Linked DNA regions of Tribolium castaneum. Each later gene encodes a partner of the first gene's protein in a complex. Links are inferred from orthologs where the notes say so. Each region holds a gene or a part of one and is shown on either strand. Other genes may lie near its edges. The genes, in order: Mitofilin and QIL1.

Evidence for each region.
Region 2: Mitofilin (region 1) and QIL1 share a complex: the UniProt entries of both Drosophila melanogaster proteins name them as parts of the mitochondrial contact site and cristae organizing system (MICOS) complex. The link is inferred for Tribolium castaneum from reciprocal best matches to the Drosophila melanogaster genes Mitofilin and QIL1.

Annotation. Positions count from the first base shown.
Region 1 is NC_087395.1:24,361,320-24,377,547, forward strand, and holds Mitofilin (MICOS complex subunit Mic60), read left to right. Parts: upstream 1-7,500; 5' UTR 7,501-7,597; coding exon 7,598-7,642; intron 7,643-7,728; coding exon 7,729-8,101; intron 8,102-8,148; coding exon 8,149-8,250; intron 8,251-10,593; coding exon 10,594-11,339; intron 11,340-11,635; coding exon 11,636-11,864; intron 11,865-11,913; coding exon 11,914-12,364; intron 12,365-12,416; coding exon 12,417-12,594; 3' UTR 12,595-12,741; downstream 12,742-16,228. Other genes in the region: fumarylacetoacetate hydrolase domain-containing protein 2A, read left to right, coding at 1,714-1,988, 3,331-3,547, 3,620-3,948, 3,996-4,146; fumarylacetoacetate hydrolase domain-containing protein 2A-like, read left to right, coding at 4,329-4,495, 5,875-6,091, 6,145-6,473, 6,525-6,675; mRpL35 (large ribosomal subunit protein bL35m), read right to left, coding at 6,704-7,200, 7,475-7,496; uncharacterized protein LOC103314327, read right to left, coding at 13,169-13,315, 13,364-13,471; uncharacterized protein LOC135265377, read left to right, coding at 16,189-16,228. UniProt on the Drosophila melanogaster protein: Component of the MICOS complex, a large protein complex of the mitochondrial inner membrane that plays crucial roles in the maintenance of crista junctions, inner membrane architecture, and formation of contact sites to the outer membrane.
Region 2 is NC_087400.1:1,400,241-1,414,630, forward strand, and holds QIL1 (MICOS complex subunit MIC13 homolog QIL1), read left to right. Parts: upstream 1-5,426; 5' UTR 5,427-5,569; coding exon 5,570-5,577; intron 5,578-5,654; coding exon 5,655-5,811; intron 5,812-5,858; coding exon 5,859-6,065; 3' UTR 6,066-6,127; downstream 6,128-14,390. Other genes in the region: Moca-cyp (peptidyl-prolyl cis-trans isomerase G), read right to left, coding at 2,120-2,447, 2,501-2,627, 2,676-2,815, 2,872-2,901, 3,125-3,212, 4,689-4,794, 4,848-5,033; protogenin A-like, read left to right, coding at 9,042-9,108. UniProt on the Drosophila melanogaster protein: Component of the MICOS complex, a large protein complex of the mitochondrial inner membrane that plays crucial roles in the maintenance of crista junctions, inner membrane architecture, and formation of contact sites to the outer membrane.

The DNA.
Region 1 (16,228 bases):
CTTGGCACTTTAATTTTTTAAATCTTCGCGTCTTATTATAATTTTTTGAGTTTAACACTGTTTCTCTCAGAAGCGTTATTTCCTAAAGTTGTTTGTTTTTATTTTTTAAATTTATTCTTCCAAAATTAAGTTCTCAAATTCTTTGTAATTGAAATCATAGTTGTTTTTCTGCACTTTTTCGTTTCTTGTGTTATTTCTCAAGTTTTAAGTTCTCGAATTCTTGTCACTCACCTTCATATTTATATTTCATCGTAAAATATTCGTTTTTCTTTAAGTTTTTAACACTGCTTCGTTATTTCTTAGGTATATAAGAACTTTTTGTTTGTTCTTCATCTTATTATCAGTCCTTAAATTTATGTTTTCCAATCCTTTAACACTATAATACCTTCAAATCTTCTGATTTTTTTCTAAAAACTTTTCTTTTATCATTAGCTTTAACAATGACTTTTAAGATTGTAATTTTTATAAACTTGAAATTTTTTCCTTTTTTTATTACTACTACTTTTTGTTGTTTTTAATTTAATTATTATATTATCTGATATTTTAACTTCTTACTAATACTTATTTTAAAAAATCCAGATTTTATCTTAAGGTAGTAGGAGCTTCAAATTATTTTTTTCTACAGTTTTTAATATGCTGAATAATAGAAAAATTCAAAAAAATCATAGCCTGAGAGATAAAATAAAGTACTAGTATTTAATAGCAAACGCTGAATTCTGTACCATCATAACATAAGTATAGTTTTTGATATAAAAGTAGTAGAAATTCTTCTTACGATTTTCTTTTTTTTTATTAATGTTTTACTTGGTAAATTTATTAAGACCTTGCTGTGTATTCTTTTTACTCTTAGTTTTTTAACTTTATGTTCTCAAATCTTTTATCTAGAATTATCTTTTTACTTCTCATATTATTTTCTTTTTGACTTAGTTTCATGGTTGAGGAAAAAGGGATTATCAAAGCCTAGTATGTCGGTTTAGTTGGATTCTCCTCTTTTTTTTAACGGAGTTACTATGTACATTGTTTTTTACTTTCTATTTTTGTCAGTTTACAATTTATTATCACATTTTTAACAATTGTTTATTATCTTGTTTGCTTTTGAAAAATTTGCCTTTTTTGACTCCGTTCCAAAAAATGATTTCCTTGCTTGGAAAAACACTAATGGCATTCCGTGCGCAAACCCGTATTGTTAATTTATAATCACTTGACACAAAAACGGAGAAAATTGATTCTAATTGAAAATAATTAATCACAAACCTGCCGTAAATGACATACAACAGGATTTCCGCTAATTAGCGATTAATTACCGTTGTAATTGCAACTTTATTGCAATTACTTCTTGTTTTAACTTAACATTTGTGACTCAATTTGGGCGCCACCTGTTAACCACTAGCGAAACCTTTACCATCACACCCGGGTAACACACCCAGAGAAGTACACCCCATGCCAACTCGATGTCGCCGACTTTCACTTTCTATTATTTTTTCTGTCAATTTTACAAAAATTCTGTAATAAATGGAATTGCGTTCAAGGCCGCACGCAATGCATTCTGTCTCTAAACGGCACTGAATGATAAATAATAAATTACTTTCCCCGAGTCGAAAATACCTCAACCGGTTCTCTGAGGTCCCTCAGCGTCAGTTTACCTCGACGTTGATACCCATTTGGGTGTCTTTCCCTTATCGTCCGACCTAACGTTTCTTATCAGTCGCAAAAATGTGCTCAACAACGACGATCTTGCATCTCTTCAACAATTCGAGATTACTTATTTCTAATAAATCTCAGCACGCGATAAGAAAGTTGAGTGTCTCAACTCGAAACGAGATGAGATTTGTGCAATACCGGCTCAAAACGGGCGGTTTACCCCACCTGGGGGGGCAGATTACCCAGGATGGGGACATTTTCGACATCAGCAACGTGGACCACTCCATACCCAACACCCTGACCAAGTTCCTAGCCACCGGCGATGACGTCTACGAGAGGGCCAAAAGGTGACGACTTTGCATAACAATTGCTTGTTTACCGCACTTGGGAGATAATTATTAATTATTTATACCTCCTGTTTGAACCAATCAGGGCCGTAAACGTGTAAATTAAAAAAGCATATTTGTCCTATCGCTGTTTCATAATCCGGTACTTCCAGTATATCGTTTACATACGGATTATGAGAACCTTACATGCAACGCATGTAAATTAATACAGTATTTACAATTATAAATTCTTGGTTTTTAATCCAGTTCTTTATATTAATAAATCTAATTTGGTCTAATCGTGTTGATAAGTTGTGACAATAAATCTCCCGTAAATTATCCGCGACATGTAGAATTATATTTTTCAAGGCCAACGAGGTAAACAAATTTTTGATAGCGTCTCAGCCATAACAATGACTGTCCATGCTGTCATAAATATTAATTTTTTGGTCATTTAGACCAGAAACGTTTGCATGATTTATTTTAATAAATTTTGCCATACTTTAATGTCACTACAAACCTTGGAAAAAAGATTAATAAAGTCAAAAAACATGTCCAAATTATTTACTCATATTTTTTGAACCACTGTGTATTTTTGATTTTTAATAAAAGTAGTCTGTAACGAACTGAATCTTTTACAAATGGGTAATTTTGTTTAAATTTTTAATAAGTATCTTAAAATTGTTGCAATTATTATTGGTCACGCAACGATATTTTGCAAGGCCAATTGAATAACGTTTTTATTTTGATAGGATGAGCATCCTAATCAACAAAAATTGATAAACAAATTCCATTTATGTTGCCCTTCTGTTTTATTATTTTGTGTTTCTTGTACGCCAATTAATTTAAAGTAAAATCGGCGACACAATAGGTAATGAAAATAATTAAATAAACAATTTAATTTTGTTAAACAATTTTTTACAGAAAAGTTGAGCAATTTTGCAACAGTAAAACAATGTTTTAGAAATGTATTATGCAATTTTACTATTTATCAATTAGTAGTTTGTGAAAAATTTAATTGAGTTGTTTTGAATAAATAGGTGAAAAATAATAATCTGTTTGGTTTACTAGATAATAAAAAATGCCATAAGGGACCGTAAATAAGTCAGTTAATAATTACTAAATTGTTAAAAGCTTAATTATTTCTATACTAAGCTGTCGAAGGTTTTTTATAGATTTGAGTTGTTATGCAACCAATTCTACACTCGTGCATTTTTTTCTCCTACTTTACCGTGACGACTCTTAACAAAAACTTTTTTTTTAAATAAACTATATTTGTAAACTGCGCTATAAATGAATAAAACTTAGTTGATATCTAATTTTCACTCGTAATTTAATTTCACATAAAACATCCCTTAAACAGGATAATCGCTTCCGGCAAATCCGTCATCCCTCTCAAAAACGTGGACCTCCTCCCCCCAATAATCAAACCGGACAAAGTGGCTTGCGTGGGCCTCAACTACTCCGGTCATTGTGACGAACAAAACATCCCCCACCCCCGTGAACCCATGTTTTTTAGTAAATTCTCCTCAACCATCGTGGGGCCCTACGACACCATCCAACTGCCCAAAATAAGCAACGTGAGTATAGCCCCCCAAAATTGTCAAATTTTAAATTAATAATAATAATAATAATAATAATAATAATTCAAGAGTGTCGACTGGGAATGTGAACTCGCTGTGATCATAGGCCGCAAAGCCAAGGCCATAAGGCAAGACCAAGCCCATGATTACATCTTCGGATACACAGTGGCCCAAGATATTAGTGCCCGAGACTGGCAGAAAAAACGAAATAATGGACAGTTTCTGCTAGGCAAAAGTATGGACACGTTCTGCCCTTTGGGCCCTGCGGTAGTTACGAAAAATAAACTAGACCCCAACAACTTAAATATCAAAACTTGGGTCAACGGCAAGTTGAAACAGAACGGAAATACGAAAGAGATGATCTTCAAAGTCGATTTTCTCGTCTCGTATTTGTCACAGTAAGTCCATTTTTCCCACATATTACTTAATTAATGTGCTATTACAGGATTGTAACACTGTACCCCGGCGATGTGATCCTCACGGGGACCCCTTCCGGGGTCGGCATGCACCGCAGCCCCCCTGAGTTCCTCCACAAAGACGATATCCTCGAGAGCGAAATTGAAGGAATCGGCAAAATGAGAAACATTGTTCAATAAATTTTTTATCACAACTTGTTTGTTTATTTCTTTAACCATCATCCCACAAAATGTCTTATCACTTATAAGTCGCAAAAGTGTGTTCAACAACAATCTTGCATCTCTTTAACTCGAGATTATTTATTCGTAATAATAAAGTACAACACGCGATAAGAAAGTTGGGTGTTTCAACTCGGAACGAGATGAGATTTGTGCAATACCGGCTCAAAATGGGCGGTTTACCCCATCTGGGGGGGCAGATTACCCAAGACGGGGACATTTTCGACATTAGCAACGTGGACCACTCCATACCCAACACCCTGACCAAGTTCCTAGCCACCGGCGATGACGTCTACGAGCGGGCCAAAAGGTGACAACTTGCACAATAATTGTTTGTTTACCGCACTTGGGAGATAATCAGGTTAGAGGGCCCGATCGATAGTGCGTAAATGGGGCGGTTTTATTAATTTTTACCTTTGATTTGAACCAATCGTAACGTCCAAATTAAAAAAAACAATACACAAATATATTCATATCACATTTATCGCAGTTTCAATCCGGTACTTGTAGGATTTATGAAATTGCATTTTTTTATTCCAATTTGTCGTATTAATAAATCTAATATTTTGGCGTATTTATTTAATCCTGTCGATAAGTTGTGACAATAAATGTGCCATAAATTATTCAGACATTTTTTCAAGGCCAACGGGGTAAACAAATTTTTGATAATGTTATTTAGTGTTTGTGTTGTAAATATAATTTTTTAGCACAGAAACATTAAAAATGTTATTTTTGCATAATTTTTTGACGTAAACGAAACCATAAACCCAGAAAAAAAGTTAAAATATGGCGAAAAATAACTACAAATTGGCTTCTTTCTAGGACATATTTTTTGAGCACTCTGTCTAATTATTGCAAATTTCATAAGCATCTCATGGTTGTTTTTTAATAAATATTTTATTAAAAGTAATTCTGTTTGTTTTTTCTAACAATATCTAGTTGAAATTGCTCCAAATGGATCGTAATTTCTATTGGTCACGCAACTACGTTGTGCAAGGCCAACTGAGTAACGTTTTTTATAGGACGTAACATCCTAAAATCATATCGATTAAAGATTTTTTTTCTTTATATTTTTTTGTTTCTTGTACTCCAATTAATTTAAAATAAAATTAATGACGCAATAGGTAATGAATATAAAATGAACAATTTTTCAACAATGAAACATTATTTGGTATTTTTTTAAATTTGGAAAACCGTTTGCTTGGCAGTTTTTCCACAGCTGTTGACACAATGTAAGTGTCTTCTTTTTTTTTAATATTATACAAATAATAAGTACAAATAATATCTCAATTTGTGCAATCATTTTTACCGGTATTATAAGAAATCTATCGTTATTGTTAAAATCGCCTCTTATCTACTGCTTATTTCATGAAAAAATGACATTTTATCGTCTAGAGGAATAAAGTTCACACCATTTTTTTTTGTTAAATTGTTTAACCTTTATTTATAACTGGCACTAAAGTTGTTAATTTGTTACTTACGCAAAATAAAAAAAGTATTATGATTGTATTTGTCATGGAAAGTATGAATATTATTTGTAAAAAAATAGGTAGCATTGGTTTTTGAGTATTAAATAGCTCAGATCCCATCTTGTCTTATTTGAAAAAATGCCAGAAGAACTATAAATAAATAAATCACTCTTTGATATGCAAATATCTGATGATTTCAACACCTAATTGTAATAAGCAGAATAATCGCTTCCGGCAAATCCGTCATCCCCCTCAAAAACGTGGAACTCCTCCCTCCAGTAATCAAACCGGACAAGGTGGCTTGTGTAGGCCTTAACTACTCGCGCCACTGCGATGAATTAAACATCCCCTACCCCCATGAACCAATAATTTTCAGTAAATTCTCCTCAACCATCGTGGGGCCTTATGATAAAATCGAGCTCCCCAAAATAAGCAATGTTAGTATGATAGCCCCCTAAATTACCAAATCCCCCTATTAAAAAAAATTAAGAGCGTCGACTGGGAAGCGGAACTCGCTGTGGTCATAGGACGCAAAGCCAAAGCCATAAGGCAAGACCAAGCCCTTGACCACATTTTCGGCTACACTGTGGCCCAAGACATCACCGCCCGAGACTGGGTAACAGCCAGAAACAACGGACAGTACCTCCTAGGCAAGAGTATGGACACTTTCTGCCCTTTGGGCCCGGCAGTAGTGACGAAAAATAAACTAGACCCCAACAACTTGACCATCAAAAGCTGGGTCAACGGAAAGTTGAAACAGAACGGAAACACGAACGAAATGATCTTCAAAGTCGATTTCCTCGTCTCGTATTTATCACAGTAATTTTGTTTCCTAATATAAAGCGTTCATCCCTAAATGTGCTATTACAGGGTTGTTACTCTGTACCCCGGCGATGTGATCCTCACAGGGACCCCTTCCGGGGTCGGTGTGAACCGCAGCCCCCCCGAATTCCTCCGCAAAAACGACATACTCGAAACCGAAATTGAAGGAATCGGCAAAATGAGAAACACAGTTCAATAAAAATTTTATTTACAACTAGTTTATTTATTTAACAATTGGGCACTGTCCCACTTGGGGGCACAAAAACCTTGGGCTTTCGCGCACTGAGGGGGTACTCCTCGCGCGTGTGGTAGGGCTCATAGGGGTCATCGACGTAATACCGTCGTTTGGTCCAAAAGGGCCCTGCCATTTTATCCAAAAGGTAGCTCTGACTGGCGTTGCACATGACGTGCTGCCTCAAACGGCGCTTGTTAGCCCCACTTTTCTTCCACAGCCTTTTGTGGCGCCCACACATTGTGCGGATCCAGGCGCCCCAATGCAGCCGGTAAAACCTCCGTCTCACTGCCTTAACCGACTTGCAGCGCCCCCGATTAAGCCCCAATTTAATCAGGTTGCGGGAGCTGACTTGGAAGAGCTGGGGGCTGGATAAGAGACTAGGTTTGGGGGCTGCGATCGTTGTGGGGATGACCGATGTGATGGTGCGCACAAGTGGCACGTTCGCGACCACATTTTGGACCAGGGGGGCCCTTGTAACGAACCGCGAGACTGGAATTAAAAATTTCAACATTTTTCTAGTTAGGGTTTTAGTTTCGTTAGGTTTGTGACGTTACGTAACAAATGAGTGGGACAAGGATGGAAATATGGGAATTTGGGGGATTTAGCGTCTTGACAACTTAAAAAATACCGCATAACTTAACCTTAGAATTCGCAACCAAAAACAAAAAAATCGAGTTAAAGTAATAATTAGGGGTCAGGTTGGGCGTTTTTGTGGGTTTTGTGACATCCTGGTTGAATCTGGGGCGATTTTGGGGCCACTTACACGAATTGAGGACTCTCAACATTGATAATTCGAGTGATGTCTGCACTGTCAAGCTAACTGCAAGGAGTATTTTTGTGTTGTCTGATTTTGCTAAAACCGCTCCCAAAGTGGCTGCCCCAGAAGATGTTAAGAATTGTAGGAAGGTTCCCGTCGAAAAATCTCCAAACGGTAAGCCCCTCTCGTCATAAAGCTAAATCGAGTGGTTATGTCATCTCGTGACTTGGGCGCTTTACGTAATTGCCGGCTTCTTGCAGAAATCCCGTCGAATTTTGGAATTCAAATTGTATAAGAGTGTGCGATGTTACTCGAAGGACGTGTGTCCGCCCCCGCCCCCCAAACGAAAAGACAAGTCCAGTTCCGGTGCGCTGTACACCTTGGGGGCACTCGCTTTGGTCGGTGGTGCCACAATCGGTTACGCTAAATACGACCCAGACTTCCGCAAGACTTTGGGCGAGTACGTCCCCTGGACCGACGACGTGATCAAGTTTGTGTTCCAAGAGGAGCACAGTCTACTTGACTCGGCTTCGGGGGTCTACGAGGACGTGAAGAAGTCGGTCTCGGGGCTGCTGACGCAAGAACAGCGCAAGAAGAAAGAGGACGTGAAATTAGAACAGAAGCAATACAAAGGTAAGCGACTAACGCGCGCTTTGAGTGACTAACCCAGCCTCCGACAGCCCCCCAGCCAGTGATACCGGCACTTGAAGACACCAAGGTCCCCCAGGAGGGGTACACGGAGATCCGCATCGAGCAGAAGGACAAGCGCGATGTCGAAATTGGTACTAATATCTCTGCTTTGATTTTTATAAGTAGCTCATTTCTTTCCTATTATTTAAAATTATTATTATTAAAACTAAAAGACATATACAAAGTTCCAGTGTTGTAAAAGATAGGTGTAATACGTGTAATGAACCGTAAAATTCTCTGGAACAAACAGTTTTGCCCTAAGACTTATAACGAATTTTTCGGGTGAAGAATGGACAAATTTTTAATTTTTTTTTTATTTTTTCTATTATGGCTGAACTATTTGAAAAGGTGGACTTATTTTAATCCCTACCTATGCAAAATGATCCGGGGAATCGATTGGCATCGAGAAAATTGCCAAATTCTCAATAGTTTTTTAGTTATGAATTTTTTAAAATTTTACCAATTTTTGCATTTAGCAGCAATTTGCTCGAAAACTATTAGTCGGAGTACAATAATCTTTTTTGAAAATAATAGATAATACAAAGAGCTTTCCAATGATAATACACTTCATGGGGTTATCTCTAATAGTTCCGGAGCTATTGCTCGAGAAATACTCCGGGTACCCAAAACCGACAAAAACTGCGACGAAAATTGAAAAAATCATACATCAAAAAATCGAACATTTGGACAACTTTAGTGGGTTGTTAAGACATGTAGAGGTCCATAAAAATTTGCTGAAGTTAGTTTAAAAAAAAAAAAATTTCACCTCTTTGAAGGTAAGTTGTATTACTCAGGAAATTTGAGCAAAAAAATTGAAAATTTTAAATCTCGTGAAAAGTTGGTATAATACAGAAAATGAACCGCTGAATTCAATGGAACAAACCGGATTGCTCTACGACTTTTAGTTTTTGAGTTATGAATTTTTTTAATGAATAAAATATTTCACTATGACAAATGGCTACCCTAAATTTAGGCAAAAAATTTTAAATTTTTAATTCTTGTGAAAAATTGATATAATATGTAAAATGAGCCGTAGAATTCAACGGAACAAACCGCAATGCTCTACGACTTTTAGTTTTTTTTTTGTGAATTTTTTTAGTGCAAAACTTTGATCGCCTCTGTAGCCGGAACCGTTACCCGGAGCGGCTCCGGGTTTAATCGAAAAAATAGAGAAAATTAAGCGCTATCAGATGGATTTTTGTTTGTCGCTCTAAGTCTTTTAGTTTCCGAGAAAAACGCAAAAAAAGGTTTCCATTTTCACTTTTTTTCAATTTTCAATCGCCAATTACGGCGAAACTATTAAAGATATCGAGAAACGGAAAAATGGAGAATAACCGGAATAAAAAACTCTACAAAATGACATAGGACTCAAGGCGATATCTCGCAAAAAATTTTTCAATTTTCAAACGCCGATTACGGCCAAACCCAAAGAGCTAGAAGAAAACAGTTTGTTCCATCGTAAAGAGCACATCAAAATCTATAAGATAAAATAGGTTTCATTTGATTTTGAGACACTTTAAAAATTGACCGATTTTAAGGGGGGGGTGTTAACTTTTTTTAAATTTTTTTTATTTTCTCATTTACGGCTAAACTATTCTAAAAAATGGAACTGTTTTGATCCATACTCATGCAAAATGATCCGGGGAATCGATTGGCATCGAGAAAATTGCCAAATTCCTAATAGTTTTTTAGTTATGAATTTTTTAAAATTTTACCAATTTTTGCATTTAGCAGCAATTTGCTCGAAAACTATTAGTCGGAGAACAATAATCTTTTTTGAAAAAAATAGATAATTTAAAGAGCTTTCCAACGATAATACACTTTATGGGGATTATCTCTAATAGTTCCGGAGCTATTGCTCGACAAATGTTCCGGGTACCCAAAACCGACAAAAATTGCGACGAAAATTGAAAAAATCAAACATCAAAAAATCGAACATTTGGACCTTTAGTGGACTTTTAACAACTTTAGTGGGTTGTTAAGACATGTAGAGGTCCATAAAAATTTGCTGGAGTTAGTTTAAAAAAAAAAATTTTTTTTCACCTCTTTGAAGGTAAGTTGTATTACTCAGGAAATTTGAGCAAAAAAAATTGAAAATTTTAAATCTCGTGAAAAGTTGGTATAATACAGAAAATTAACCGCTGAATTCAATGGAACAAACCGCATTGCTCTACGACTTTTAGTTTTTGAGTTATGAATTTTTTTAATGAATAAAATTTTTCACTATAGAAAATGCCTATCTTAATTTTTAGCAAAAAACTTTAAAATATTAGATCTCGTTAAAAGTTGGTGTAATACACAAAATGGGCCGCTGAATTCACTGGAACAAACCGTTTTGCTGTACGACGTAAAAGTCGTAAAAAAAACTAAAGTTTTGAGTTATGATTTTCGGGTTCGAAAAGTATCGAAAAGGTCCATAAAACTTTGCTTGGTAGGTGGCGAGGCCAAGGTGCCCCCTGGCGAGGTCTCCGTGCCCGAGTCGCACCCCAGCAACTTGGCCGAACTCGAGGCAAAAATCTGCGACGCTGCCACCGAAGCAGTCAATTTTTACAACAAAGCTGTCTACGACCTCCGCGTTTATAACGGAGAAATAAGCCAGATTTTGGACCAGTCCGTGGACCAGGTCAAGCCTCCTCAATGGGAGGCCCTCAAAGCCAAAACCAAGGCCAAGAACGAGTCGGTGCGATTGGCCGAAGAGAAGGCAGCTCAAGCGGCCCAAAACGTCTCAAAATTAAAGACTCTCCTAACCAAAACCTCCGCAGCCACGAAAGAAATGGTCAACATTAACATCGATAAAGTCCAAGAGGACATTGACGCGGCCAAAGCGCAGTACGAAATCGAGAGAAAATTGGGCTCAATCACCGATAAATACTGGGAAAAGGTCCAAAAGGCTAGACATCATTTTTGCGAAGAGTTGGAATCGCTTTTCCCCGCGATCGATATTTACAATAAAAAGTTGGAAGTGAACGAGGCCGACTTGGATTTGTTTATTTTACACGCGTATTCCGTTGTCTTGTATTACCAAAAAGAATTGGCAAAACTGGAAACTGTGGCGCACGAGAAATTGCAGTCGGCGTTGGATGCGGCACGAAGAGGCGGCTTTGAACCACTTGGCAAGGCCCAAATTTGCGAAGCCATCGAAGAGGAGAAGCGGAAATTGACTCTGTGCTTCCAGAAACAGGTTGGTGTAACTGCACTTTAAGTCCAAAAAAAATATATATATATATATATATATATATATATATATATATATATATATATATTGCCAGATATTATCTTTTTCATTAGTTTTTAAATTTACGTAAATACCGACTACTGATTAGTAAGTGATTGAAAATAAATCAAAATAACCAAAATTATTGGTTACTTTGTTGCCCTGGCCACGATTTGATCGACATGGCGCAGCTATGTTGCAACAAGGCCGAAAAATTCGGTTTTTTTTTTGAAAAAATAGGGCATTTGTTTGTTTTTTTTCAGTGTCTCAAGTTGCGAAAAGAGGCCGAGCACGAATTGCGCGAACAACTCAAACGCCAATCGCAAGTTTTCGCCGACCACTTGGATGAAGCCGTGACCACTCGTGCGCTCGAAATCGAAAGAGTATTGTCCCGAAAATTCGACGAAGAAATGGAGAAGGAGCGTTTCAAGCATAAATCGCAGTTGGCGGCGATGGTGGGCCGGATGAAGGGACTCGACCATGCGTTTAAAGGTTTGTATGCAAGACAAAAAAAGACGCAAGATTTGAATTTGGTATTTAGCGCGCGATGCGGCCGATAAAGCCGCCAAACAATCGCAAGTGTTGTGGGCGGCGTGTCAGGCGTTGCTAAGGGCGATTAAGACGGGCTGTCCGGGGATTCCCTGGAAGGATCAGTTGCGGCCGTTAAGTCCCGAGATCACGCTTGTGCAGAAGGCGGCAGCCAAAGGGGATGAGTTGGTGGAGGCGGTCATTAACGGCATTCCAAAGGAGGCGAAGGAGCGCGGGGTGTTCCCGGAGGATGCGCTCCGGGAGCGCTTCCTGAAGGTGGAGGATGTGGCCAGGAGGGTGGCGCTAGTGCCCGAAGAGGGCGGGGCTTTGCCGTTGCATATCTTGTCGTATATCCAGGCATTTTTCCTGATTAAAAATCCTAGTCCTATACCACAGGCGGAGCTCAACGATGAAGCCGTTGATTTTAGTCAATTGAGCACGAATGAGATTTTACAAAGGGCTAGGTAAGGGTGCGAAAATGTGAGAGGTTGTTGTATTTATTACTTTTTTGCACAGATATTGGTTAGATCGTGGCGATTTCGCCCAAACGCTTAAATATATGAACCTATTACAAGGCGCTCCCAGGTCTATAGCCAGGCAATGGATGAACGAAACGAGGATTTTGTTAGAGACACAACAAGCTGCCAACACTTTAATGGCACATGCGGCGTCTAGTGGGCTTTTGCATCTCTAATGTTGTATAAATCATTAAATTAAATAGTAACAATTACAGTTTTACTTATTTATTATTGTGCTTTCGATTTATTTTTTCATTGTTATCCTCTGTATATTTTTAAACCGGTACTTCATCAAGAGTGTACAATAAAGACAGTCCTTGTTAGTCGGTGTTTTATTACAACCCCATTCCTCTTCCCACTTCGTGATAGCCAGTGTGAAAGAAATGGAAACAGTCAATTGAAAAAAAAACAAGATCAAACAAAAATCTCAAAGCCAGAGGTTATTTTGGATACAAATTCAGCAGAGTACATTTTTTTGTCCTTCGAGCCGGATAAGAATGTAACCACAATCTATAGTTATTACAAAAATAGAGAAAAATCTTAAAGATTCATTTTTTGGTTCTTCGAGCCGGATACGAATTTGAAATAATAAATCTGATTCTACAAACCTGAAAAACTTCTGAACAGAAGGGAGTTTTTAAAAATAAACAAAGTTTGAAGTGTTAAAAATAAATGGATAGGGAAGCGAATAAAACAAATCATTTCGATTCATTCAGTAGTTTATTCACATCCAAATCGTATCCTCTTGAACTACCCGGACCTCAAAATATCGCTCAACTCCTTCATGTTGCCAAAGGCCGTCATAATCTCCTGGTTATTCCTCTTCTCCTCCTGGAACTTGTCCTCGGCTGCCATCTCCCTCAGCGCCGGCAGAATCTCCTTCAACAGCTGATACTTCTGCAACCCTTGCATAAGCCACCCCCTCACATCAATCAACTTATTTACCTCATTATTCGCAAGACTGCGCTCGTCTGGTCTTGAAGGGAAAGCAATAACCGCGTGGAAAAACAACACAGTCAAAAGCACGGCGGCATTGCCCCAATTAGCGCGCATTTTCGCAATCTGGAAAGCAGGAAAACCAATCAGACACTGAGACAAACGCACAATTTCCCCTTTTTATAGCCGCCACGAGCAAGGCTGTCGCCTGTTTGCAAACCATTAGAAATAACAAGAATCGGGAACAAGTGTTTATTTCGACAACACAATTACAATTTTGTCACTAGACGAAACGGAGAATTGCACATCTCGAAAAGGGCCTCGGTCAGAAACGCGCTTCTTTTACTTTTACACAGAGTGTTCAAGGACGTCAAGGGTTTGGCACGCTTCAGGAAAAACTGGCAATTTTCCTGGAAATTTCGGTCAAAAAAGTGGCGAAAGGCGCTGTAACTTACCCCGTTTGTGAGACAGGGGGCCGTAAAAGCGCACGCAAGCCCCCATAATAAAAGAAAAATCACAAAACGCATGACTCACCTTGATCAGCAAGCGAGGGTCTGGCTGCAAGGGCCAAAAATTCCCTTTTTGTACCTGGCGTTATCTCGTTTTCCCCGTTTTCCGGTAAATTAATTGATAAAAGGGATCAAGGGTTATTTTTAGCTTTTTCTTCGCTAATCTGGGATTTCCTCATGCGTTTGTGATTTTACACGTTTTGGCAGATGGGTCAACTCTTGCGGAACCTTCCGTTACACATTTTTTCCATAAATTTTTATGTATCAACTATTTTCATTCATTTATAGGAAACATAAGGACGAATCAAGGGAGATTATTAAAATGCTATTATTGGTTACAGTTATTTTACCAACGTATTTTTCAGCATGACTGACGATTTTATCGTGAATTTAATTATCGGAAATTCTTGTATTCCATTAGCGCGCCTACGTGGCGATTGTACTAAAAAGGGGCTCTTGAATTTTATTAAAATATGACAAATCTTGACACACAGTGAGCCATAAATGTTCACTAGCATTTTTGGGACCTAGGGTTATTTTAGAAAACTGTTTTTGGCGTTTTTTGATACTAAAATGAACCAAAAATTATTAAATTAGGGATTTTTCTTATTGTTTCTCACTTTTTAGGTGTTTTTAGTATGTTGTTACGCGAGAAATTAGAAAAGAAAATATTTTGCAAAATCAAAAATACTCCAAAAAATCACCAAACTGTTTTTTTGGGTACGCAAGCGAGTCAAAAATTTCAGTAATACTTTTTTTTTTACAATTTTGGCATTTTGTTTAACCAGAAATGCGATTAAATTTACGAATTTCGTTCAAAATTACCCGAAAAATGAAAATATATTTACATATTTGTTTTACCTGTAGTTTTTCAGAGACGCATTATTTCGCAAAAATTTTAAAAACTCAGCAAAAAATAACTAAATTGGATCGAAAATCAAGTACAGTCTCGCTCAAAATGAATGACACCCCTAAAACCGTAGCTACACATCTTTTCGTTACTAGCTAGACAGGTTATAAACTAACCTGTTTGTTGAAATTTAAGATTTTTGAAAAAAAAATTTGTCGCACTTTTGCTATCCGGCCTACTTGGTAGGGGTGTCATTCTTTTTGATCGTGACTGTACCTTACCTGATTTTGCCTTTTTTGTCTTTTTAGCACATTTTTAGCAAAAACACAGTTGTTTGGCCAAATTTCTCAAAAAATTATTAACCAAAAACTTTAAAAATTTCTCGAAAATGGTGTATCAAAAATAAGATAATAATAAAGATATTATTTTGGCATAGTTTCCGTCCAGAAACACAATCATTTCGTAGAATTTCTATAATAATAAACTGAAAAATGCCAGTTAAAACACTTAAACAGCATTTGACGTAAAAGCAAATTTTTTCGTCAGATTTTCCTAAACCGTAAAACTAGTAATATAAAATGATTAAAAAAAACCCTCATATGGTGATAAAAAAGGTTCAGTTAAACAAAAAATAACTTTTTTGAAGCAACTTTTTTTTAATATATTTTTTAATTTGTTTTTCTTAGCAACGGTATCGATTGTTGCTCCTTTGTTTCCTAGGATCCAATTTAATTTATTGTCGAATTTACAAGTTTTTTAAAAGTTTTGCACATCATCAGACACTAATTGTTGATTTTTTTCAACAGGTATTTGTTTAGTGTTACAAAAGCTGTCGTTTTTGCTAACTAAAGTCAAAAAACGCTCAAAATTCAACTTTTAATTCAGTTTGATTTTTCGATTTGAAAAAAGTAATAGAAGTAAACTTAAAGTTTACTATCAAATTGCTCTTCTTATACAATGTGTTTTTAAATGATCCTCATCTAGTTAACTTTGGAATTGGTTTACATGTAAAAAGTTGTGCCGCTCTGCTCAAATGAATTCTCTGTCAATAAATGTCAAAACTGTACAAATTGTCAATTAATTAATTTTAAAAATTTCGTTAAAATTTAACTAAATTGTTACACTGTGCAAGAATTGGAGACAAAATCAATAAAAAATGGTAATAACTAATATTCGGTGTCTAAATGCCTGTCATTAATTATATAAAGCGGCATTTCTGATTTTACACAGACGACTAGATCAGTAGATCATTTAAAAACACATTGTATTATAACTAAACCAAAAAATATTTTTTAAAATTATTCCTTGTTTGTAAGTGCCGATGGTTCGACAGACCGCGCAAACACCCCTAAAATAAATAATCATTTTTGCGTTATTGCCGGTGACACGCGCCCACGCCCCAAGAACGTCCAAACCACTTGTCGTTCCCTATTTAAGAAAATCGCCCCGATCCAGCCTTGTATTCAGCCCTCGCAATGAGATGCGAAACGTTCGTTGCGATCCTGGTCGCCCTAG
Region 2 (14,390 bases), on another chromosome or scaffold:
CTTAATAATTTAATAAATAATTCGTTTATTACTAGAAATACAAATCAATAGGCAATAAGACAAAAATCTTCAAAATTGCAAGAAAATCAACAATTTAAGGTGATTTACCAAACTATTTTTTTTATAACATAAGGTATTCGGACAAAATAACGATTATTTAAAGAGGGTAATAATTTAAAGTTTCAGAAAGATACATTTTTTTTGCTTCATGTTTTTCCGTGTAGCGATTTGATTGATTTTTGTAAAAAACAAAGTTTATTAGAAAGTCTAGGGCCTTAATGAAGCCAACTGTTATTTTTTCAAATGGTGGACCGATAATCACGGAACACTTTTTTTTGGTACAAGTAACTTTAATTTTATTTTTTCGAAAAATTACAAAATTTTTTCGACTGTAAAAAAAAGAGCGACAATCATGCCTTAATGAACTTTTTTCTTAAAATACTTTAAGAACTTAATAATTTAATAAATAATTCGTTTATTACTAGAAATACAAATCAATAGGCAATAAGACAAAAATCTTCAAAATTGCAAGAAAATCAACAATTTAAGGTGATTTACCAAACTATTTTTTTTATAACATAAGGTATTCGGACAAAATAACGATTATTTAAAGAGGGTAATAATTTAAAGTTTCAGAAAGATACATTTTTTTTGCTTCATGTTTTTCCGTGTAGCGATTTGATTGATTTTTGTAAAAAACAAAGTTTATTAGAAAGTCTAGGGCCTTAATGAAGCCAACTGTTATTTTTTCAAATGGTGGACCGATAATCACGGAACACTTTTTTTTGGTACAAGTAACTTTAATTTTATTTTTTCGAAAAATTACAAAATTTTTTCGACTGTAAAAAAAAGAGCGACAATCATGCCTTAATGAACTTTTTTCTTAAAATACTTTAAGAACTTAATAATTTAATAAATAATTCGTTTATTACTAGAAATACAAATCAATAGGCAATAAGACAAAAATCTTCAAAATTGCAAGAAAATCAACAATTTAAGGTGATTTACCAAACTATTTTTTTTATAACATAAGGTATTCGGACAAAATAACGATTATTTAAAGAGGGTAATAATTTAAAGTTTCAGAAAGATACATTTTTTTTGCTTCATGTTTTTCCGTGTAGCGATTTGATTGATTTTTGTAAAAAACAAAGTTTATTAGAAAGTCTAGGGCCTTAATGAAGCCAACTGTTATTTTTTCAAATGGTGGACCGATAATCACGGAACACTTTTTTTTGGTACAAGTAACTTTAATTTTATTTTTTCGAAAAATTACAAAATTTTTTCGACTGTAAAAAAAAGAGCGACAATCATGCCTTAATGAACTTTTTTCTTAAAATACTTTAAGAACTTAATAATTTAATAAATAATTCGTTTATTACTAGAAATACAAATCAATAGGCAATAAGACAAAAATCTTCAAAATTGCAAGAAAATCAACAATTTAAGGTGATTTACCAAACTATTTTTTTTATAACATAAGGTATTCGGACAAAATAACGATTATTTAAAGAGGGTAATAATTTAAAGTTTCAGAAAGATACATTTTTTTTGCTTCATGTTTTTCCGTGTAGCGATTTGATTGATTTTTGTAAAAAACAAAGTTTATTAGAAAGTCTAGGGCCTTAATGAAGCCAACTGTTATTTTTTCAAATGGTGGACCGATAATCACGGAACACTTTTTTTTGGTACAAGTAACTTTAATTTTATTTTTTCGAAAAATTACAAAATTTTTTCGACTGTAAAAAAAAGAGCGACAATCATGCCTTAATGAACTTTTTTCTTAAAATACTTTAAGAACTTAATAATTTAATAAATAATTCGTTTATTACTAGAAATACAAATCAATAGGCAATAAGACAAAAATCTTCAAAATTGCAAGAAAATCAACAATTTAAGGTGATTTACCAAACTATTTTTTTTATAACATAAGGTATACGGACAAAATAACGATTATTTAAAGAGAGTAATAATTTAAAGTTTCAGAAAGGAAATTTTTTTTGCTTCATGTTTTTCCGTGTGGCGATTTTATTGATTTTTGTAAAAAACAAGGTTTATTTTCTAGGGTCCTAGGGTCTAGGGCCTTAATGAAGGCAACTGTTTTTGACCAAACACTTACGAATTTTCCCCTTCCTTTGATAATTCGGCCACTTTTGGTCGTAATGGGGCGATCTCTTCGGTTAAAACTGTGATTATCCCACTCTCGACGATTCCGATCTCTTCTAAAATCATCTGTAAGAAAATTATTATTATTTTTAATAATAATAATAATTCGAGAAAAACCTTTTCTTTTTTTGTTAAACTTTCGGTCCTTATCTTTTTCTTGCGGACCTCTCATTAGAAATTTATTGAATGGAACGTCCGGGATATCATCAGGGTTAATATCAGTGACTGTGGCCAAAGGGTGAAGATCTTTCAGTTCGCCTTCCTCTTCCGAATCGGTTTTTCTAAATTACGAAAAAAAATAATAATACATAAATAATAAAATTTTGAAGCTCACCCTTTGTGTTTCTTTTCTTTCTTCTCCTTCTTTTTGTCTTTTTTGTGTTTCTTTTTTTTCTTTTCATCGCCGGATGATTCCTCCTCGTTTTCGTTTTCTTCCTTCTTCTTCTTCTTGTCCTTTTTCGCTGAAATTTTTTTGTTGATTTGTTGTTAATTTTTGCCAGTTTTCTTACCTTTGACCTGTCTTACAAGTTCGCCACACTTGACAATTTTCGCGTCTTGAAGTGGCCGACTGTTGGCATCAACTGGTAGTGATTCAATCTGACGTACAACATCAACTCCTCCGACAACACGTCCAAAGACAACATGTACACTAGAAATTTTTTATTTGAGTAGAATTTGATTTTATCAATTAAAAGTGAAACTCACTTGTCGAGATGAGGGGCCGGTTGTGTAGTACTATAACACAAAACATGACAAGATATGATCAGCGAAGGCCAGGATAGATGGGAACAGACGTACTGCTACAGAACAACAAAAGTAACTGTTCTGTAACACATCTCTTAAAGCGACTGAGAAAATCATTCAAATGTCAATATTTTCTCTACAATTATTTGAAAAACACTTTGAAAAAAATCAGTTGTCCAATTGGACAAAAATATGTCTTTTGCTTAAAACTCACATAAAGAATTGAGAACCGTTTGTGTCCTTTCCTCGATTTGCCATTGATAGGAGAAGAGGTTGGTCGTGTTTCAGTTCAAAATTTTCATCTGAAAATAAATTATCGCTATTTACAAAAAAATTAATTATTTGAACGAGTGACACATTCTCGGATCCGTTTTTTGAGAGAATAATTTTGGTCAAAACCGCATCTTGCTATCGTCTTTTGTTTTCGACTTATAAACAAAAGTTGACATTTCAGTGAAATATTAAAAAAATCATATCTTCCTTATTATAAAAGATACACATTTAAAACAAAGACATTATACAGGCACTTTTTTACAGAGAATTTAGTAATGTTATCAGCGATTTTTTTTAATCATTCGTTTAGCTGTAATAACATAAAGTTGTATTTTGTTAAATGAGAATCATAATTGGCTATGACATTTTCGAAAAGCTTGTTTTTTTATGAACTCAAAACAATATAAATATAGTTTGATATTTTTATATATTTTTGATAAAAAATATATTTAAAATATTTGAAAGTAGTTGGCCATGGAAAAATTATTTCACATAAAAGGTGTGAATAATCTAGAAATTTTGTGAACGGTTATTAAAGTAAAAAATGTGAAATTATAAAAATAAGTTAGTTATTTTCAATTGAACAAATATACGAGCGTCGCAGATTTTAATTACATAAAAAATGTGCAGACAATTGCAAACGATGTGTCACTACCACTTGATGCCACTTTTTTATGATTTAGTGCAATGGAGGTGACGTTGATAATGTTGTGTATTTTTTTACCGCAGATGGAATTTGATTTTGGTGTTTGGATTGACATTTTTTTGTAAAATAAAATTTTATTGATACGCAATCATACAATTAATAAGATTTTTCTTCTTCCGACATTTCATGTTTAAAACTGGAAAATAGAATGACAACGTAAGCTTGCCATTTTAAATATAAAAACAAATAATTTTTATTAATTGCAAAAATTTGATCTAATAAAAATTTATTATGCTGTTTTTGAATTAATTAGGGTTTAAAAAATCATTAAATTATAAATACTTGTTGGGTAATACAATTTTCATAGTTTTAATTAAGAATTCAAAATTTTTTCATGGCCTACTACAAAGAAAAAGCGAAATGTTTTGTTTATTCTTAAATATTTAAAATTAATGTATTACACAAATAAATATATCAAATCAGAAAAAATAAGCTTTTCGAACTTTATGTTATTACAGTTAAACGAATGGTTGAAAAAAATCGCTGATAACATTGTTAGATTCTCTGAAAGAAAGTCCCTGTGTAATTTAAAAGAATGTGTTTATGAAAAAACCTAGTGCAAAAAGAAAAATGTCGCAACGTCACGATATCATCAAAAAACGTGTGCAAACAAGATAAGAATTAAATTACCGGATGCTTTTTATCAACAAATGGTTTTCAGTTTCAGTTTTTACTTGAGTAATTTGAATGGAATTTCAGATCAAGTGTGTAAGTTAAACCGTCAAAATGTGAATCAGCATGGCCAACCCAAACAGTTATTTTTTACCCCTTAGTATATTTTTTTTAAATCCGCACCCACCTTCAAAAGTTCCTCCATAGACACTCTCACCCCCAGTCCCATTCCCATTGGAAAAATCCCCTCCCTGGATGATAAAATCCTTGACGACTCGATGGAAAACCACCCCCTGAACGCAAACCAATCAATCAAGAGACCACCGCCGTTTCAATCAATACAGACCTTGAAATGCAACGCTTTCTTCGTATTCACCCCAATGCCCTTTTCCCCCGTACACAAACACCTGAAATTTTCGCATGTTTTCGGCACAATATCAGTAAATAACTCAAAAACAATGCGTCCGGACTGCAAACCGCCGATCGAAACATCGAAAAAGCAGCGGACGCGTTCTTTGGGCTGCTCCTCCATCTAAAAAATAAATTGCAATAGTAATGACATTCAAAAAGTGTTATCAGCGTCGCTGATTAATTAGTTAGGGAAGCACCTTACTTTTAATCAAAAATCACTGATTGATTGAGTCACCGAACGGACGATAATCAATTTGAAGCGAATTTTCACCGATTTTTCGTTTTTTTTAGTGGAATTTGCGGCAAAAAAACATTTTTCGCGAACACAACGCTACAACCAGCCACAGCGTAATATCTAGGGAGTTTTAGGCGGATGCGGGCACGCGCCTAATTTAAACAACTAACTTACAATTATTAAAATGCGTGCAAAAACGTAATCAAAATTTTAAAAAATCGAGCAAATTTATTTAGCACTTTTTGCGTAAATGTACAATCAAGCGTTTGGTATTAAAAATGCCTAAATAATTATCTTTAATGTTATTGAAATTAGTTTGGGGTTTTTGCTTCAAGTTGGTTGGTGTTGACCGGTCATCTTTCAAGCACATAACCTGAAAATAACCCGATAACTAAATTAAAAAAAATCAATTATTACGAAACATGTTCAGGTAATAACACTCATATAATACAGTTTAATGTTTTATTTCAATTTTTAATTTTTTGCACACTTGTTACATAATGACAGGTTCGCCATCAAGGTTGGGTTAGCTGCAAGCGCAGTTTATTATTTAAATAACGAAGGGATTTGGAAAGAGAGCAAGGAATCACTGAAAGCGTACGATAAACTAAACACCACACTTGAGCCCTATGTGCAAGAGGCGCGAAAACAGGTCCCCTTTGAGGTACAGAGCCCCCCACAAAATTATTTTTTAGGGACTTGTTCTTGCAGTTGCCTCAGTTTCCCAGTGGGGGCAGCAAGGTTTATAATGTCCAGGTTTGCTGGAACAAAGGGGTGACGGCAACGTTTCAATTTTTGAGTGAATTACCGCATAAAGTGAACAAGTGGGCGGATGAAGGAATTTCGGCTATTTTGCAAAATCCGGACATGCAAAAAGTGTTTGAAGCTTCCGGGGATACAAAGGATGGGAAAAAGTAGAAGTGGTTGTTAATATGTTGTAAATAAAATGTGTGGCTGTATCAATAAAAATTGATTCATGATTTTTTTGTTATTATTAACTAAACCCATTAAATTTGTTATTGGATTTTTTTTACAAAAAATAGTCATTGATAATTCAAAAGGGTCCCCTTTTTTAGAATTATTTGCACTATCGTAATAGTCCGAATAAAAAGAAATACTTCACTTTTTCCCTTTTTTTTTGATAACTAGGAATTTATTCTAAAGCATTTTAACTATCGCATTCAGTGCATATTTTTACGTACAAGACGCTTAGACGCCTGACTTAAACATTTTTTGCTAAATTATACCCAAAAATTAGGTTTTTTTTTTAAGTATGCAATTTGGTATGAAGGTGTGTTTGCTTGATTGCATATATAACTGGATTTTTTTAACAACTTATTTTTCGTTATATTTTTTTTAAGCTGAAAAATTTTATATTTACAGTAGACCGAAAAAGATAAAAATAATACAAAATACATCATTTTTAATGGTTTGGTTTGGCATATTTTACCAAAATTATCGAAAAAAATAAATAAATAAAACTTCTTGCAAAAACTGTGTGTGAGTGAAAAACGTATTAAAACGTACAAAAAAGGGTAAAATAAACTTTATTTTTTAACTGAAATAATAATTGGTTATTATTATAAGTAATAAGAAAAGTTGTTTATTTTTTGTCAGAAATAATGTTTAAATCCGCAAACGCTAGCTGTTGTCTTTTGCTATTGGTATCATTATTATTTAACACTGAAATTTTGTAATTACGATAATAATGAGTTTAAAACTGCCATTCCAACATTGATTTTAAAAAAAATGTAAAAGAAATAAAAACTAGAATCTTATATATGTATTTTTGCCAAAAGTTCTTTTGTTCATAAAAATGGCAATCAAACTGAACACACAAAAAAATTTGACCTTGTTTTTGCAGAAACAATATTTACTTAAAAAGGGCAAAAATAACCCAATTATACTTAAAAATTCCCAGCAAAAATTGTTCTTAAAACTGAAAAAACGCTTAAAAAAGCCCGAAAATGTGTAAATAAACGCGCCATTTTACAACTTTTCGGCCAGAATACAGAATAAATTGACTTTTTAATCCTAACTTTTAGTTAAACCGACCGTAAGCATGATTTTTCCTATCTTAAAAAAATTATTATTAGATTTTTTTGTTGTTTTTTTACAAAAAATGCTAAATGTTAATTGAGTAGTGTTGCCAACAGATTTTTTTGACACAATACTTTATCTCCATGTTTGCAATCAGTCCATGACCTTTCAGAATTAAGAATATAGTAAACAATAATTTTAATTCCGTCCGATAAGATATCGCTAATTTCGTATCAACTCGTTATCAGAAATTGCTCCTCTCATTCATAAAACTCCATTTTTACTATAGTACTAAACCATGATAGTATAGTATAGAAAACAAATGACCATCAAGTAACCAAATGCCACTAGATCTGGTTCCGCGGTGCCATGATGATCGAAACGTTTATTTCTCCATTATTCAGTGTTTTTTTTAATGGAAGAATTGCAAAGTAGTGCGCATGACGATAACGTATATGCTAAATGGTTGGTTATTCGTTCGTACGGCCTCTGCCTACATGGGGGTGAAAGTGGGATACGCGCATTGGCAACACGAGAGTATAGGCCAGGGGGGTTTTGCACTCCCGGGGAGATGAAAAGGGACGACCAATGACGACTGCTTATTTTAAAACAAGCGCGTATTTATTAGGGATTTCATTAAATTATATTTTTTGACGTAACAATGACATCTACGCTTGCGCGCAGATCGCTAAAAAGATCGCGCCGAAAATATCGCGCCAAAAGTGTTGTTTTGTCACTCATCGTTCAACGTGTTACCGGAAGTATGTAGCAATTATTTGTTTCATCGTTTAATCAAAGCAAAAATTCTGATTACAGTTCGTTAGTGAGTCAATTCCTGGTGTTGAGCGCCGACCAAAAAGATAAGTATCTCTTGTTTTGTTAATATAACCTCATCTTTTTGATTGGTGTTTCTTTCTATTTTAAAGGCATTGGTCTCTGGGCTGGAGTGACGGATTTTTGATTTCTACTACTCAAGCGAACTTTAGTCATGGCTGGTTATCGCAAATATTCCTGCAAATACCCCGGATGCACCAGTGGTTATGTTCCCAACAAAGGACATGCCAACAAGCATTTCTTCACCTTCCCTAAGAATCTAAAGCTTCACGAATTGTGGAGGAATGCCTGCAAAATTGAGGATCCTGTAAGTTCAAAATTTTGGCGTTTTCTCGATTTAGGGTATTTCAGAATTTACTTTTAAGTTTCTTATTTGCGCTCGAGTGTGTCAGTGCACTGCATGTACCTCCTCGTGGTCGTAGCGTGGGCAACTGTTTGCTGACAGACAAGGTAAAAGTCATTGCAAAGAAGGCCTTATTTTGTTTTAAGTCTGGAGCAGACAGGCAAAACATGCCAACACTAACTGATTTAATTTTTTGATAATTTTTGTATAATTAAGAAATAATACAATACTTTAATTTTTTGAAAAATTTAATTTGTTATGTTACTCAAGTGTACAATAAAAATGTTAACAAAATCTGTGTTTTATTACCCCAAAACAACTTTTTTTGTAAGTTTCATTGCAAATTTTGTTTAAAATAAATATAAAATGTTTTCATTTCGTTTAAAATGAAAATATTTTTTTTTATTTTAAACAATTTGCAATAAAACTTGTAAGATAAAAATAATAAAAAACAGAATATAAAAGGAATTTATTCAAACGTGGCGCTTTACCGTGGTAGTAACGCACTTCAGCACCAGAGGCGCTGTATTCTCGTGTTGCCAGTGATTTACTAGGGAATTATCACTTCTTAACCTTTACTGTTCTGTGTCTGCCTATACTATCGAAAACATCGTGCGTTAGTTAAGTGTTGTGTGGTGTCTTGCGTGTTATCAAAGTTCCCAAATGAGTACTTATTTATGGCGTTGCGAATTCTTCAATTCGGCATTGTGTTTGCAATAGGATACTATCTCGGCCCTGCATCGCGTAAGTAGCCCCCGAAAATCGCGTATCCTTCGCCGAAAACATTGAAAACATTCGAGTGTGTACCCAACCAATATGGCGGGTTGTTTAGATTGTCTCTAAGATTTCCAAATGATAGGAAAAAATTGGACGCTTCCTTGACGTTGCCACGCATCTAGTCGCTTTGACAACCAACAAACATCGACCGATGCTCAACTGTCATACCTGTCAGTTTTGTTATTGTATTGTTCGAGCACAGCTACCTGCGATGCTGCTGCAAACGCACATTTTTTAACGCGCTGGGATCGATTTCCTGTCGGATATTTTTCTTAATAAATTATTAATCACGAGTTGATGTGGCCATGACTTTCCTTTGTTAATAGAAAAATTTTGACGAAATTCTCAAGTGCGTAGAAACTGCGATGTTTCGTAACTATCATGTCGTAACATTATCAGGTGGGACACCACGTTTGGGACTTCCGGGGAATTACTACAAGAATTATTATTGATCTGCTCTTGTTTTAATTGTTTGACACTGAATTTTTGAAATTGTCAACAAAACCTGTCAAAGTGTTGATGTTAAACGACTTTTTTCCGAATTTTTTTCATACGCACAGAGGTCTAGTATAAAAAATAATATAGAAAAATCAGTAAGTAAAACAAATTAATATATTTCCGATTGACACTGGCAATTTATTTGGGTATTTTTGCATACAAGGTGAATTAAAACTATGGAATCAAGTGCTCCTTGCTAAAACTATTAATTTTTGTAAAAATAAGATTTTTTGATTTCTTTTTTGTTTTGAAAGTTGGAGAAGAATATTTAAAAAACTAAATCTGATGTTGTTAATTTAACAAAAAATTATAGTGTATTTGGGTACCTACTGTCAAAGTGACAATAGTTACAGGGTTATTCTTTTATAACCTACTTTAGAAACTTAACTTCTAACATAGCTAGAGCCTTAAAATTTTGTATACGATCCATATCGACTATTCTGAGATCATCTAAGTTATTGTCAAAATGGCTGAGCTTTCGGAACTACGAGAAATTAGCTCTAACTTTAAAATGTTTATCGTTAATCAAGTAAGCATTGAAAAATGGTTAAAGGTGAAATAAAACTATGAAGTCAAGTGCTCTTTATTAAAATTAATAATTTTTGTAAAAAGAATAAGATTTTTTAATTTCTTTTTTGTTTCGAAAGTTAGAGAAGAATATTTAAATACCATGTGAAATTACATCAGAAAAAAAAAATCTGATATGTTAATTTAACAAAAAAATATAGTATATTTGGGTACCATTAGAAACTTTTTAACTTCTAACATAGCTAGAGCCTTAAAATTTTGTACACGATTCAAATCGACTATTCGGAGTTCATCTAAGTTATTTTCAAAATGGCTGAGCTTTCGGAACTACGAGAAATTAGCTCTAACTTTGAAATTTTCATCGTTAATCAAGTAAGCCTTGCAAAAACAATTTTCAAACTTCAACGTTTTATTTAGTTTTTAGCTGGTTCATTGTCAAATAGGCAGTAAAACAATAATATTTAATTATGATTCATTATTATAATTTATGTAAAAAAATTTTGATCATCAATTTCAAAAAAATCATAGTAGCTTTTGCATTTTGGCAAATGACAATTCTGATGATTTTATGACTTTTTGTACTCTTGGTTATTACGTGCAAAAAGAATTATTCACTTTACTTCACTGTGGTATTGCATAAAAATATTGACATGTCAAAAATTGTGACAGATGAGATAGTGAGTTTTAAAAGACTAATTCAAAGATGCAATAAAAATATGTGGTTACTATTTAAAATATTTCAAATTTGGCACCAATTTCATATCGTTCCGGAAGTTCAGCCATTTTGAAAATAATTTAGTTGAACTCAAAATGGCCGATTTAGATCGTATATAAAATTTTAAGGCTGTAGCTATGTTAGAAGTTAAAAATGTAGGTTATAAAAGGATAACCCTGTATTATTTTTTAAGTTACAAGTTTACTGTCACTTTGACAGTAGATACCTAAATACACTATTATTTTTTTTTGATGTAGCTTCACATTATCTCTAACTTTTAAAACAAAAAAGAAATAAAAAAACTTATTCTTTTCACAAAAAGTAATAGTTTTAGCAAAGCACACTCGATTCCATAGTTTTTTAATTCACTTTAAAGCTCTAGCTGTATTAGAAGTCCAAAAGTTTCTAATGTAGGACCTATAAAAGAATCAGCCTGTAGATGTATCTTTTTTTGACACTAGTAATTCATTTAAGTGTTTTTTGTTCAGTAAGTGAAAATGAATTGTTATCTTTGAATTGATTGAATTTTTTTTATTTATCACTCAAATTACGAGAGAACGGAAGTCCCATTAACAACAAGATCGTGATATTTCTAAAGTTTCAATCCGGCTGTAGCGTCTTGCTTTGATGATTAATCCTTCTTGTGTGGCATATTGTTATCTGAGGTTTCCCTCGAGAACATCACCGCACATCATAAAAGCAACACATCGTTGTAAAATTTAAAGATTGTTATTTTTTGCAGTTGCGTTGATTTTACGTCATAGACAGACATATACTTTTCAGGTGGGAGGCATTATTATCAAACACCCTCGAGAAACAGCCGAAAATAAATTCCGAACTTAATGTCTTTGTGGGTGTTTGGTGTAAAAACAAATCTCGGAAATTTTTCTCACTTATTACAATACAGGGCAGAGTCAAGCCAACAATCAACTTTCTTCCGGGTTTCGATTTTGAATAAAGCGCTTTTTATCGGTAAACTGGTTTACAACTCCACAGCCAACTGCTACTCTTTTGTGCCAACTTTATTCGTAATTAAAAAGCCAATTGAACGAGTGACAAGGTTTTGACGTGCTTTATGTGCACACGATTTCAGTCCAATTTTTGTCATTGTTCTGCAACTATTTGCAAAAAAACAAAAAAATAGCATTATTATGTTGACGTCATATTTTTTTGGACACTCTGTATATAAAACGCGTAACAACAGTTACGATGCGCAAGGTTACTTGATTTAGTTTTCGTGTTCAAGGCTGTAAGCTTGTCAAATTCGCCAAAATTTCATTAATAAAAAACGTAAATAAAGTTTGAGAAATGTTGGTTTTTTGTTATGTTTCCCAAACAAACAAACAGGCAACTTCCGCAGATGTGATGTCACCATCGCAAGCTCGTTGAATTTTTTGCTCGTATTTTTTCATCCTTGCCGAAATATGCAGCAACTTCCCAGCATTGGAGTCCTTGAGACGAAGATCGTCCATTCGTTGGTTGGTCCCCAACGAGCCTGGCTTGTGTATGTTTATATAATACGTGACCCCCCGTAACAATAATGCAGTGTCTGGGTCAGTAACGAAGCCCAAAATATAAAAGGCGCAGGTCAGTTACTGCAAACCGTTGCACATTTGCTGCCACCATTGAAATACGATATTCTGGCACCGAATTGGCGACTATTTATAATCGATACACGTTGCCCATATGCTGATTACCACATTCCTTATCCAGTTATCGCCGCATTAGATAACAGAAACGAAAAATAAATAATCATAGGGAAAAGTCACTGTGTCGTTGAAATATTTTTGTAATTTGCCGCCATTTTGACGCTTTAATGGGCATCTTAACGTCATCAAGTGACATGTCATAAAAGTCATTGTCATTATTTGACAGAACATTTTACGAGAATTTTTAGGTTAGTAGGAAGCAATGTTGGGACTGTATTTTTGCAAATTCCTCAAATTTCATGCAAGATTACCTCCATTGTCATCCAGACTCGAAACAAATTCGAAATCAATTTTTTACTTTCAAAATTGAGTTATTACCAACTGTCACAAAAATCCCTAAATCGACAAACTAACAATTTTTGTTTAAAAATGGCATAAAGGGGGCAAATTATACAAAATAGTAAAAAAATCTCGTTTCACAGGAACTTAAAACGCTCATTTTTTCAAAAAACTTGTGGCTAACGCCACGAATTCGTGCCATTATGAGACTTTTTTTAATATACTATTATTTCTACACAATTTCTACGAGATGTATGCCCAAAATTATGGAAGAATGCCTAAAAAATTAATTTTAAGTCATCATGACGTCAGAGGCCGAGAACCGCCCACTAGATTTTGATTGGTTCACTAACCTGACGTAACAAAATAACGCGCATCCTAGATTCAAGCGCAAATCAAAAGGTTATCTTCATGTTCATATAACATTTAACGTGTTTTTGTGGTGTGTGTAAACAATTATGTGATGACAGCGTAAACAACATAAGAAATACAAAAATTAACCTAAATCAGTTGATCATGAAAACCTCTAATCATTCTATCGTTGACTCGAAATAGTGAATGCGCATGCGCGCTTTGAAATGAGAGTACGTACCTCAGCCTACTGCGTTACGCGATCAAAAATTGCTTTTTTGGCCTTACTACTGAAAATTTTTTAAAATAAAAAAACAAGGGTAACCTAATTTTTTATGAATTTTCCAAAAATGCAGTTTAAAAATTTGCGGGACCGGTCCATTAAATGTATTTGACTTTTTTGTGAACAGGGATATATTTCTGGGAAAAAGAATACCTTTTAAAAAAAATTATGACATTCAATCAGTTTGGTAGTTTAATATGTAATTTAGTACTTTGAACTTGAATCATTGCCAACTTTGTCCTGACAGTTCCTTTATACTCGATGAAAAAATATTTTTTTTTTAAAATAAAATTAAACATTGGATTAAAAAAGTTGTGGTGTTCACTAAAATGAAACCCTCACTGTATAACTTAACAAAGTTTTATGAATGCATATGCATTTATGAAATGTGCATATTTTCAATGTTTTTCGGCATGAAAGCGCAAAAATTACAAATAATCTATGTGTAAGCAAGTAGAAATTTCCGGTTTGTCATAAAAAAAAATATGCAAAATAAAAAAATTATCAAAAAATAGTATGTTGCGTTATTGTAATTTTATTTTTTGTTTTTTGGTTTTTACAATTTAAATTATCACAAATTCTTCTGGAAATCTGGAAATAGTTGTTACAAACAACGGTCGAACCATTTTAGTTTCATAAAGTCCAAGAAAAGTGTTAGAGCAGATAAAATTTTCGAAAGTACATTATTACTTAATTGATTTTCATTTAAATTTATTATTTATTTATTATTTCTTATTAGATATCAAGTAATGAAGCTTTAATAGAAGAGAAATTCTAAATGTCCAAATTTTGATTTTTTTAATTCTAGTAATTTTTTTAATGGTAGCTAAGTTAATTTTTCAAGTTATTGTTAAAAACAACAATGTCTTGGATTTAAAAATCCAAA